Linked DNA regions of Daphnia pulex. The protein of the gene in region 3 interacts with the protein of the main gene of each other region in a pairwise test. Links are inferred from orthologs where the notes say so. Each region holds a gene or a part of one and is shown on either strand. Other genes may lie near its edges. The genes, in order: F-box only protein 11-like, F-box/WD repeat-containing protein 7-like and S-phase kinase-associated protein 1-like.

Region 1 (4,394 bases), on a different chromosome or scaffold from region 3:
TACAATCTGCTCAATCAACTCTATCCTCGCTCCTTCTTCTCAGACTCTATATTTTTTACACACGTACAGTACAGACACACACACACACACAAACCACATATAATATATATATGTATGTATTACACACCAACCAACCACAGACACACAATCCTTTCTCTTTCCGATTCCTTAATTTCTCTGGTTTCTCTTTTTTTTTTTTAGCTCCGGTTTATTTTTCAGTCAGAAATTTACGTTTTTGCTATCGTGATGATGTTGGTGACGGAATATGTTTTCTCCCCTTTTTGTCAAATTTGTTTTTTTTTCCCCAACACGTTGAGGCTATATTTGAAAATGACGTTAAACAAAAGAAATTCTAATATTTTAGTTTGTACAGAACAATTGTGTGTCGAGTAGGATCAATGGCAAATAGATAAGAGCTGGGCGCGCCAGGAGGTCGACGATATATGTTATACACATCCGATAGAGCTCAATTTATTTGGTTTCTTCATCTTTTTTTCTAGGGCACTTTCCCCATCTTCCCCAACCAACCACCATTTAGAAAAAATAAGAAAGAAGAAAACCCCAACCGATTCTTTTTTTGTATTATTGCGTGTGTTCTGTGTGTGTTCTTTTCTCTTTTTCCCCTCTGTTTCTCTTTCCAAAATGTGTTCTCTCTCTCTTTCTAAAGCTGACGTAGTACGTGCCGCATTTTGAACATTTTCTGTTTCGTCTCAAAACAAGAGAAAAAAAAAAGTCCGTTCGTTGCAGCGCAGCGGATCGGCCGGCCCACACACATTTGACACGCGCGCTCGTGTTCGTCCCTCGATAGTGTTCGATTGTTATTAAACTTTATTATTATAAAAAATTTAAAAAAAAGGAACGTAGGATTTAAAAAAATATTGGAGGAGGAAAAAGAAAAAAGAAACAAAAATTTAGCAATTTGGAGAAAAAATTTCCCTCAAAAAATTTATTCGATTGTTTTTTTTTTTATTTTTTATTATTTTTTCGTGTGTCTCTTTTTTCCTTTCTCTCTGTGGGGTTGTAATAATAATAACGCTTGAAAGCTCTATGTTTGTTGGATTAAATCTTTTTCGTCGTCTTTTTATTATTATTATCATCCCCCCTTCCATCAAGAAATAATGGCTGGTTATGGGCCTTCTATTTTGACAAAACGAACGATTGCTGGCTGGTGGGTTCTAATCGAAGAAAAAATACAAGAACTTGATTAACAAAAAAAAAGTGTCGTTTTATTCTTTCTAGGTGGTTTTCGGGACTGTTATTGTTTCGTGACTTGATTCACGGCGCGTGGGAGGATAATAAACATCCATCAAATAACAACCAAAAAAAACAGCTGTTTGGACAAAGAAGCATTTCAGCCGATGCCGCCGGAAGGCCCCCACAATACGAGGGCTCTATCCTTTTTATTTTCTGTTGTAAGGAAAGGGAAAACGGGGGAAATGCGTTACTAGCCCAAACAAAATGTGACTAACACACACACATACAGAAAAAGCCGAAAGAAAGAAAAAGAAGCCATTGCCTGAAGCATTTACCACGAAAGAAAAGATTTGTCGTCCATTTCCTTTTTTCGATCATAGATGTCTCTAGCAGAACACATTGTACAAGATGGCCGATGGTGTATGCGCTCAGTCACAAGTTGTGTTGACACTAAAAAAGTGAGATATTCCCATGAAAAAAGCATTATGAACCTCCCGTAGTGATTGTTTCTCGCAAGTTTATCATCATATCTGGACATTCTTCACTGTTTTACTGTGCTGTCGCCAAGAAAAGTGGGAAAATCGTTAGCAAAATGCCCAGTCCCTCGCTGCGTTCACCCCTCTACTCCCTGAGAAGGTCGAAACGGAAGGGCACCAAGAGAGGTGCTGCTGCCAGCAATAACTCCCGCGTCAACTCTGGTAAGTCCATCTCGCCATTCTTTCTCCCACATCAGTCCCACTTCTCATTCAAAATGTGTTTCACAATAACAAACTTTCCTTAGATGGGGAAGAAGGGGCAGGTGAAGGAAATCTCCAAAACAATGCATCGTCAGCCAACAATGAAAATCCAGTCTCAGGATCTGTTGCTCCTCAACCTGTTGTCCCTTCGGCTGTTGGTTTAGTCACCGGTGGGGCCTCAGCTGCTGGACACCAACCACCTTATGATCTGAGGCGCAAGTCACCACATCATGATCCTGCCGCTGCAGCTGTAGCACCCAACTACCCGTCAGGCTGCAATCCGAGTGGCAGCCTTTCGTCAAATTCAGCTTGTGCAGCTGGTCCCAGTGGCTATGCAACGTGTATGCTACCTGCAAGAAAGAGGCCGAGAAGAACCTGCTACACATCATCTGAGAGTACGACAAATATTTTTCGTTTTATCCTGGCTGTCTCCTAATTTGTTTTAATATTCAATTTGCAGATGGCAACTCAGTTGATGAGCAAAGAAGTGCAGCTCATTACCTCCAGTATGAATTACCTGATGAAGTTCTCATATGCATATTCAGTTATCTGTTTGAGAGAGATTTATGTCGGGTCAGTCAAGTCTGTAAACGTTTCCAGAGTATAGCTAACGACACAGAGCTTTGGTATGTTGGTGTAAACATTTCCGAGATTATCATTCAGAGATTCATCAACATTTTGTCTCGACAGGAAAACGTTGTATCAGCGCGTTTTTGAGTACGACACGCCATTGTTTCACACGGGAATCTGCAAATACGAATTTATAGCGATAGAAGAATCCGAATACGACAATCCTTGGAAAGAGAGCTTCAAACAACTCAATCACGGCGTCCACGTCAGGCCGGGATTTCAAGAAAAGGCCCTTAAATACCCGTCACGCTACAAAGGTTTGTCGTGAAAGTCTTTGGCGTCGCTTAAACGTTTTATCATTTTTCCATCTCTTTTTCCATTCTTGTAGGTCGTTCGATTGCCTATTTCGATACGATCCAGTCGGCGCTGGAATTTTTCGACGACGCCGAGAGTCCGCTCGTGTTCGTGCACAAGGGATCCTACCAGCGCGAGTACCTGGTAGTGGAGAACAACGTCAACATTTTAGGTTGTTCTTCGGGTAACGTGGCCGAAAACGTTACCATCGAACGAGACACGGAATCGACGGTGACGTTTATGGAAGGTGCGAGATCTTCCTACCTGGGCTACGTCACGCTCAAGTTCAGTCCAGATATCTCATCGTCTGTTCCGCATCACAAACATTACTGCCTTGAAATTGGAGAGAATTGCTCACCCGTTATCGACCATTGCATCATCCGCAGCAGCTCCGTCGGTATGTTTTTGTCGTCATTTGTATTGGTCATTGCTTTGTGACTCAATCTTTTTTTCTCCGAATGTTGCAGTGGGCGCCGCTGTATGTGTAACCGGGTCTGGTGCGGAACCCATTATCCGCCGTTGCGACATATCCGACTGCGAGAACGTTGGCCTTTACATCACCGACCACGCTCAGGGTCTTTATGAGGACAACGAAATCAGCCGCAACGCTCTGGCGGGCATCTGGGTGAAAAATCACGCCAATCCGGTTATGAGAAGGAATCATATCCATCACGGCCGAGACGTCGGCATCTTCACCTTCGACAACGGATTAGGCTATTTTGAGAGTAACAATATCCACAACAACAGAATCGCTGGCTTTGAAGTGAAAGGTTTGTGACTTGTTTCCATTTTTAATGCGTCCCTTGTTTCGCTAACAAATCTGATTGTTGCTTCATTTGAATTTAATAGCAGGAGCAAACCCGACTGTGGTGCGGTGTGAAATCCATCACGGCCAAACGGGGGGCATTTACGTTCACGAATCCGGTCAGGGCCAATTCATTGAAAACCGGATTCATTCCAACAACTTTGCGGGCGTTTGGATCACCTCAAATTCAAATCCGACCATCCGTCGGAATGAAATCTACAACGGCCACCAAGGCGGCGTTTACATATTTGGAGAAGGCCGCGGTCTGATTGAGCACAACAATATTTACGGCAACGCTTTGGCAGGCATACAGATCCGCACCAACAGTGATCCAATCGTGCGGCACAATAAAATCCATCACGGCCAACACGGTGGCATCTACGTCCACGAAAAGGGCCAGGGACTCATAGAAGAAAATGAAGTTTACGCCAATACCCTGGCTGGAGTCTGGATAACCACAGGTAAATAACTGATAATTGTACTTCTCCTCTGAATTGAATTAACCCATTTTTTACACCTCATCAGGATCGACTCCTGTTTTAAGGCGAAACCGAATTCATTCTGGCAAGCAAGTGGGTGTCTATTTTTACGATAATGGACATGGCCGTCTCGAAGACAACGACATCTTCAACCATCTATACAGTGGTGTGCAGATTCGAACGGGGAGCAATCCCATCATTCGCCGGAACAAGATTTGGGGTGGACAAAACGGCGGAGTTCTCGTCTACAATGGA
Region 2 (4,396 bases), about 500 kb from region 3:
CAAGTGACGCATATCCTTAATCCCAATAATCTTTTAAAAAAACTATCTTTATGGATTCATTGACGTACGTCCGATGTGTAGATTTTTATATCGTTCACGTGTTGAGTCCATGTGCCTGTTTAACATTTCAAATAACATTTTCAATATAAAATAGTTTCAACATAAAACAGACCCAGTAAACCGTAGCGCATGTTGGTCTCGTTCGTCATTCACAATCGAACACTATCAAATGACGCAACGTATGTTCGTTAGCTGCAACGACGACTCCATTGTTTAAATAGGCGCGCCTAACCTCACACCTCTTCAATCCGGTGCTTCTGCACTTAAATGAACCGGTCAAAGACCAATTGCTGGTTTATTAAAAAATATATAGATTTCTCAATGCCCACACAAAATGTGCATCAAAGTTTCTTGGCAATTCAATGAGCGACCTATTTTCATGACTGGGGAAGCGACGATAATGCCCGATGAAAGAGCGAATTCAACATTCAACACAAGATCACCGAATGTTTTGTGCTGCGCTTACTAATGATCTTTTTGAAAAGTTAATGCTAATACGGTAGCAGCTATCACTCCGAATCCGAGAAATTTTGAATGTCATGGGGCAATAAACGGAATTGAATATTGTAACAATCAGAGAAAAACGAAAATTTGTTACAATTATATTATTAATGAGGACGAACCTTCAACTTTTAAAAAACCTGCGAGATATCGCGTAAGTAGCAGTTTGAATTTCTTATATCGAACGTTTATAATTCATCGCGAGTCATCTAGCGATAGCTAGAAAAAGCAAGATTCGGGCGCCCTTTAACACTGCGTAGCTGCTATAATGTGTACAAAAATATAGATACACAATTTAGTTGGATGAATACTTAACTGGCTATTGGTTGAATCGGGTTCAACTTTCGTCCAACCGTATGAGAGAACTAGAACTCAACATTACGCAGTAACGTTTTCAACAGAGTTGAAATGCTTGAGAAACAATTTGCACCAAAACTTCCATTGTTATTGAAATTGTGGCTTTAATTCAGTTGGATCTGTAAAGGGCTGATGGTATGAAGAGATTCAAGGGGGACATTTCAGGAGGGGGAACGATGAATAGCGATGATGATCCGTTGAAGTTTCAAGAACTGAACAGTTAGAAACTTAAAAAAAAATATGATATAATACTCTTTGATAGTAATGCAATACAAAAATATTATTAAGGGTGGGGGATGTATGTACAAAGAAAGGCGGGAAAGATGAAATGAGGTAGGCCCACGTATTGGCCTTTAAAAAACCGCCTAGCTTTGTTGTTTAAAAAAGGATAATAATTACCACTATAAATTCGATAGTAACACTGTAAACGTGTCAAGTGGGTTTTGCTACGAGATTCTAAGCGAAATAAAGAAAAAAGCGCATGTGATGACGACCACAGGGCGCGTCCAGCAACTGGGAAATGTTAACAAGCAATTTGGCAACGCTTTTTAGTCCAGCATATATCGTTGTCTGTCTCGGCTTCACCATTCGTGTGAAACAAAATTCTCTTTGATGCTGATCCTCGTGTACAAATTTTTTTCTATATTTACGCTCTTTGTGAAATCGAAATGCCCGAATCATTTTAGTGCTAGATTTTTTCTATTTTAAATCCTTTATTTGATTAAGTTGTTTTTGCCCACCCGTGCTTGCGGAATATTTTCAAAATCGCATTTTAAAGGTCTGCCCTTGTTCCCAAAACACTACACACTATCAAGCCCTCGCCCATATCATTAAAAAGATTCTACTTTTATTTTGATTGCACTTTTTGACTCGTAACGCCATTATAATTTTCGCTGCACTTTTCACTGGATTTTTATCGACGGTAAGTGTGAATCATTCTTGCTTTGTTTCATTATTGTTATAAAAAGAAACCTTTATTAACAACATTGAATCTTCTTTCTTGGCAGATGAGATGACTAGTGTTTAATTGAGGATATGAGTTGTTGTCTAGGCAGCTGTGTTTTGGTTTCCTAGTAATAGCTCAGCTTCTCAATCTCTAGCTTACGTAGCAGTCAGAAACCCAGCAGAAATAATTTATGCCAGCGTCCAGAGGACGGAGTAGTGGGAGGGGCATGGGCGACACTGCTAATGAAAGTCTAGCTCAGAGAAACCTGGTAGACATCAATGTGGCTACTGTTGAAGAGCTTTCCACCTTGGTTGGAGTTGGACGCAGCAGAGCTGAAGCCATTGTGGAAACCAGAAATGTAAGTTTAGGATTAACCCAACACCAGTGTGTTTTATATGGTTTTGACATGTGTTTTTCCTTTGTAGTCCCTTGGAGGATTTACATCCATCGAAGATCTAAGTCTGGCTCCAGGTGTGGGGACAAATTTGATTGAAGCCAATCGTCAGATACTAACAATATCAGTACCAGCTCAGTCGTCTCAGGTGAATGCAAGAAAAGCCAACACTCGGAGCAGGTAAATAGTGTTATACAATACTAAATTTATACCCCCTTCTCATGGTTTTGCTATTAGTGTAGGTATATTTCTTTATTGTTACTCTTATCTAAGCCTTTGTTCTTTGGATTAGGCAAAAATGCGTCATTTGATTCTAAACATGTTTTGTTGTTGCCCTAGAAGCAGTGATAATACAAGCGCTCAACCGACTCCGAGCACCACACCAGTGATATCTAGTTCAAGTGATAACGCGACAGAAGACCAGCAAAACGACAGTGGAAGTAGCAGCAGCAACGAATGGGGTGCTTGCCGTTTGAGGCAGCGCCGGTCAACAAGCAGAATAAATCCACTGCCCGTTGGCAAATCGCCTTCGCTTCGACAGACTCGGAGCAACGATAGCATCATTCAATCGCCTCCTCCTCTCCCCACAACACCTACATCATCGACACCTACTGCTCCTGCCAACGACGCCAGCAATGTATCCGTTAAAGAGGAATCACCCACCTCGGAGAATGATGACGTCGCCAGACCAGGAGCTGTAAGTTTATCCAACACTTATTTGTTATTAAGAACATGAATTTAATTAAGGTGGTGTGTTGTAGACCAAGCGCAAGTCGGAGTCGACAGCTGAGATGGCAGCTGAAGTAGCCACGGAGAAAAAAACATGTCGAAGGGGTGAAGGTGTTGATTCATCTTCCTCGTCAATCTACTGCCATGTTCACCGTAATCCGATTCCCTCGAAAGACAATCCTCCGCCAGGATTTTGCCAGTGGCTTCACACGTTCCAAGTATTTTTCGTCATTCTCTCAACCACTAACTCATTGCTAAGAAAAACCATTTGTTATCATTGCAGTACTGGTCGAACGCTGAGCGTTTATGTGCCATTGACCAACTGATAGAGCTGTGTGAACCCACTCAGGTCCGTCACATGATGGCTGTTATTGAACCACAGTTCCAACGCGATTTCATATCGCTGCTGCCCAAAGAACTGGCTCTGTATGTTCTCAGTTTCCTCACGCCTCGCGACTTGACTCGCGCCGCACAAACCTGCCGTTGTTGGAGAGTCTTGGCTGAAGATAATCTCCTCTGGCGAGAAAAATGTCGTGAAGCGGGTATCGATGACGTTCGTGATACTCTAAATAAGCGACGTCTTCGCGGATCTTCCCACCACTCATCTCTCAGTTGTGGTCTTTCTTCCCCCACCGGATCTAGCCAAAACAATGCACCAATTATTACTCCGTCACCCTGGAAGGTGAATAGATCAATCTGGCTTAAACGTTAATAGGTTGCAAGATAATATTGATTCGTTGCATTTTCAGGCGACTTATATGCGTCACCGAAATATTGAGTTGAATTGGCGAGTGAGGCCGATCCCACAGCCAAGGGTATTGAAAGGTCATGACGATCACGTCATCACCTGCTTACAGTTTTGCGGAAACCGCATCGTTTCGGGATCGGATGACAACACGCTCAAAGTCTGGTCGGCTACTACGGGAAAGGTAATTCATTGGGCTTTCTGCCTAGACAGGACAAAGACTTTAAAAACGCGAAATGTCTTAAGAACAGACAACCATTTAATTGTCATTTCACTCAACAGTGCATGAGGACTCTGCAGGGACATACGGGAGGCGTTTGGTCCTCTCAAATGCAGGGAAATATTATAGTCAGCGGGAGTACAGACAGAACCTTAAAAGTCTGGAACGCTGAGTCTGGACAGTGTTTGCACACATTATACGGCCACACCTCCACTGTCCGTTGCATGCATTTACACGGAAATAAGTCAGTCTTTTTATCAGATATTTGTAGCAAGCACTCTTACTAATTCAACTGTTTTCCTTGATCAAAAATGAATGTAGGGTGGTGAGCGGGTCACGGGATGCAACGTTACGTGTATGGGATGTTGAGACGGGCGAATGTTTACATGTTCTTGTTGGTCACGTCGCTGCCGTACGATGTGTGCAATATGACGGGCGTCTGGT
Region 3 (3,057 bases):
TAATGGATCTTGTCTAGGGCATCTGAGCAGTTGGAGATCAACTATAGAAGGTGTTGATAATCAAGCTCATAAGCTGAGCAATCTTGGCCTGGAATGTCATAGTCTCAGCTTCATCTTCCATTTGATCTTCTCCAGGCATCTAAAAAGGGAAAGGAAAATATTTCAGTAAGAAATGTTTGTCAATTGTGGTAGATTGCACTCACAAATTGAAATTCTACATACTATCTATGGACTTGAGGCATACCAAAAAATGTGTAAAAAACCAATTTGTTTGTCTAAACCAGTAGTAAAACTGGTAAAACTTACTTTGCTTTTAAACGTAAACAAACAAACCCGACGCTTTTCTGTTCACGTTTGGTGGGGATCTACATGTATACAAGGCCGCCGGGCAGTCGTAAAAACTGCCACCAAATTCGCTTCTTGTTAGGCCTGCAAACTATAGCTTTGGGTTGACACACATCAAGCCGGGAAAGTGAGCCCGTTCGACTTTGAATCGCTGTGTAAAAAATACAGCTATTAGTATATCTTCATGTGATCCATTTTGAAGACCTTTCTTTGTTTAATCTCTTTCATACAAAAATTTTCATGATAAGTAACACATTTACGTAAATTTTGTATTAATGTTTAGTGTCGTTTTGAATTTGCAGTTTGAATTGCAGCGGTGGCGTTTCGAAACTGAGCCCCGTTTGACTTAGAATCGCTGTTTTAAAAAATGAATATATTATATCTTCGTAAAATGTGATCCATTTTAAAGAGATTTCTTTTTTAAATCTAATGCCTACAAAAATTTGCGTGATTGGTGTCACAATTACGTAAATTTAAGTGTCTAATTACTGCAATTGAATTTTGCAGTTTGAATTGCAGCGGTGGCGTGTCGAAACTGAGCCTCCTTCGACTGTGACTAGAATCCCTACGGGAAACTGCGCATGGCGCCATGGCTTGGAAAAAATATTTTGGGGATTTGGCCATCTCGAATTGTGCAAAACCGGAGAGAGAAAAAAATCAGTTAATTGGTTTTATATATTGCCATTTGCCAACAAAAAGAAATGTAGAATACACAGAAGTCAAAACTCAAAAATCTCGAAAACTGGAAAAGAACACGTTTTTCATAAAAACCGCTTTAACATGACTGTTGGTATACTTTCGCCCCTTCCCCTCCGAGTGTATACTATGCGATGCGAAAGTTGCAGTGATGTTTTCCATCACAGAGCGAAACAGGGAGGAGAGGAGGGTTCATTTTTACTGAACATTTTTCAGACCAGCACCAGCGCCATTTGCTCTAGAGCAACCTTTATAGAAAAGTACGTAATTTGCTTAATTTTTTGTTGAACTCCAAGCTTAATTTTCTCAACATTATTACAATACGGACTAGAGAGTTAGAAACTCGAAAATGTACCCATAATGTTTGAGATAATTCCCATAATGATGTGATTTTCTTGACTGTTATTTTTGTTTGGAATGTGTGTGCTGGTTCTCCTGAGGGCTTGATCCATTCATTGTTCTTTGCTGCTGGACTTTTGGTTATCAAAAAGTTTTTTTGTGTATTTCAGTTTTCAGAGAACAAACACAATTCACACAATGCCAAACATCAAGCTGCAGAGTTCCGATGGAGAAACATTTGAGGTTGATGTCGAAATTGCCAAGTGTTCAGTAACAATCAAAACAATGCTTGAGGATCTAGGTAATATTTTTCAATAAGCTTAATGTTAATGTAACAAATAAAATCAAAAGTTGCACCACAAAGATATTTATAGGCAAATGCGTCATTATTTTCTTTTCAAATGCTTAAAAAAGGTAACGTTCAATTGAAATTCAATTTTGGTTTTAGGAATGGATGAAGATGACGAAGAAGTTGTTCCTTTACCCAATGTCAATTCTGCTATTCTACGTAAAGTAATTCAGTGGGCAACTTACCACAAAGATGACCCCCCACCACCAGAGGATGATGACAATAAGGAAAAACGTACTGATGATATCTCATCATGGGATGCTGATTTCCTCAAAGTAGATCAAGGAACTCTGTTTGAACTCATCTTGGTAAGTGTTCATTTTCTGATATCACACCTATGAAAACATTCTACAATTGTTTTAAGTTAAAAATGTTAGTGAAATGTAATGTACATATTTTTGTTTTTAGGCTGCCAATTATCTGGATATTAAAGGCTTGCTGGATGTTACTTGCAAGACTGTTGCAAACATGATCAAGGGGAAAACCCCAGAAGAGATTCGCAAGACCTTCAACATCAAGAACGATTTCACCCCTAGTGAGGAAGAGCAAGTACGCAAGGAGAACGAGTGGTGCGAAGAAAAGTAAATTATCTCGACGAAATTTTGTTTTCACATGTTACATGTACCTTTGTATCCAACTTCATGTTTTCAAGCCAAGAATACAATAAATTAAAAAGCAGTTTTAAGTGTATAGTCAAACAAAAGAACAAGTTGTACGAAGTTCCGTAGTGCACTGGTGAATTAACTGTATGTTTTAAAACAGCTCGTGCTTTAGACAACCTCCCGTTTTGCCAATTATAATGTACAAGTTTTGGTTTTTTTGTGTGTGTGTGTGTGTGTGTGTGTCAGTGTGTTGAACACTGCATTATTTTTAGATTTTGTTTCGTTAGATGGTCTCCTGAAAATGAGCATATCAAGAAAAAGATAAAGGGACTCGCGGATTATATCCGGGCTTAGCTACTAGAAATGCTTTGCAAGTTAGACACCATCATTGGTTTTCATAGGTAGATGATAGGCATGATACCTTGACGGCTTGACCATTAATTTTATAATTTTCCCTGCATACGTTTTGTATGCATAATATGTAGTGTTTCTTATAATGTGCATAGATTGCATTTTCTTCGTAGAAATAATTGTTCACGGGAAGTCGGAAGAAAATGTTCACTGGTGCGTGCTGATGGTTGCCGAAAGTCTATTTAAAAATTAACTATAGATTTTAACTTAAAATGATCAGTAGTATTATTATGTAAGGGTCATGAGATGATGAGACATTGATTGAATCACCACTCCGGAATGCGGAAGCATTCTCAATAAGTTCCTTTGAATCGA

The links.
Region 1: the proteins of S-phase kinase-associated protein 1-like (region 3) and F-box only protein 11-like interact in binary tests that used the Caenorhabditis elegans proteins (3 or more experiments, as listed by UniProt). The link is inferred for Daphnia pulex from reciprocal best matches to the Caenorhabditis elegans genes skr-1 and dre-1.
Region 2: the proteins of S-phase kinase-associated protein 1-like (region 3) and F-box/WD repeat-containing protein 7-like interact in binary tests that used the Caenorhabditis elegans proteins (3 or more experiments, as listed by UniProt). The link is inferred for Daphnia pulex from reciprocal best matches to the Caenorhabditis elegans genes skr-1 and sel-10.

What each region holds. Positions count from the first base shown.
Region 1 is NC_060018.1:284,179-288,572, reverse strand, and holds the start of F-box only protein 11-like, read left to right. Parts: upstream 1-1,582; 5' UTR 1,583-1,786; coding exon 1,787-1,892; intron 1,893-1,975; coding exon 1,976-2,326; intron 2,327-2,391; coding exon 2,392-2,557; intron 2,558-2,621; coding exon 2,622-2,818; intron 2,819-2,889; coding exon 2,890-3,252; intron 3,253-3,322; coding exon 3,323-3,625; intron 3,626-3,704; coding exon 3,705-4,121; intron 4,122-4,185; coding exon 4,186-4,394. UniProt on the Caenorhabditis elegans protein: Substrate recognition component of a SCF (SKP1-CUL1-F-box protein) E3 ubiquitin-protein ligase complex which mediates the ubiquitination and subsequent proteasomal degradation of target proteins including blmp-1.
Region 2 is NC_060019.1:12,535,834-12,540,229, forward strand, and holds the start of F-box/WD repeat-containing protein 7-like, read left to right. Parts: upstream 1-1,462; 5' UTR 1,463-1,840; intron 1,841-1,925; 5' UTR 1,926-2,054; coding exon 2,055-2,222; intron 2,223-2,289; coding exon 2,290-2,438; intron 2,439-2,597; coding exon 2,598-2,955; intron 2,956-3,019; coding exon 3,020-3,205; intron 3,206-3,270; coding exon 3,271-3,669; intron 3,670-3,736; coding exon 3,737-3,916; intron 3,917-4,014; coding exon 4,015-4,196; intron 4,197-4,273; coding exon 4,274-4,396. UniProt on the Caenorhabditis elegans protein: Probable substrate recognition component of SCF (SKP1-CUL-F-box protein) E3 ubiquitin-protein ligase complex, which mediates the ubiquitination and subsequent proteasomal degradation of target proteins.
Region 3 is NC_060019.1:12,034,355-12,037,411, reverse strand, and holds S-phase kinase-associated protein 1-like, read left to right. Parts: upstream 1-1,143; 5' UTR 1,144-1,170; coding exon 1,171-1,301; intron 1,302-1,550; coding exon 1,551-1,681; intron 1,682-1,828; coding exon 1,829-2,037; intron 2,038-2,137; coding exon 2,138-2,314; 3' UTR 2,315-2,407; downstream 2,408-3,057. UniProt on the Caenorhabditis elegans protein: Probable essential component of SCF (SKP1-CUL1-F-box protein) E3 ubiquitin-protein ligase complexes, which mediate the ubiquitination and subsequent proteasomal degradation of target proteins.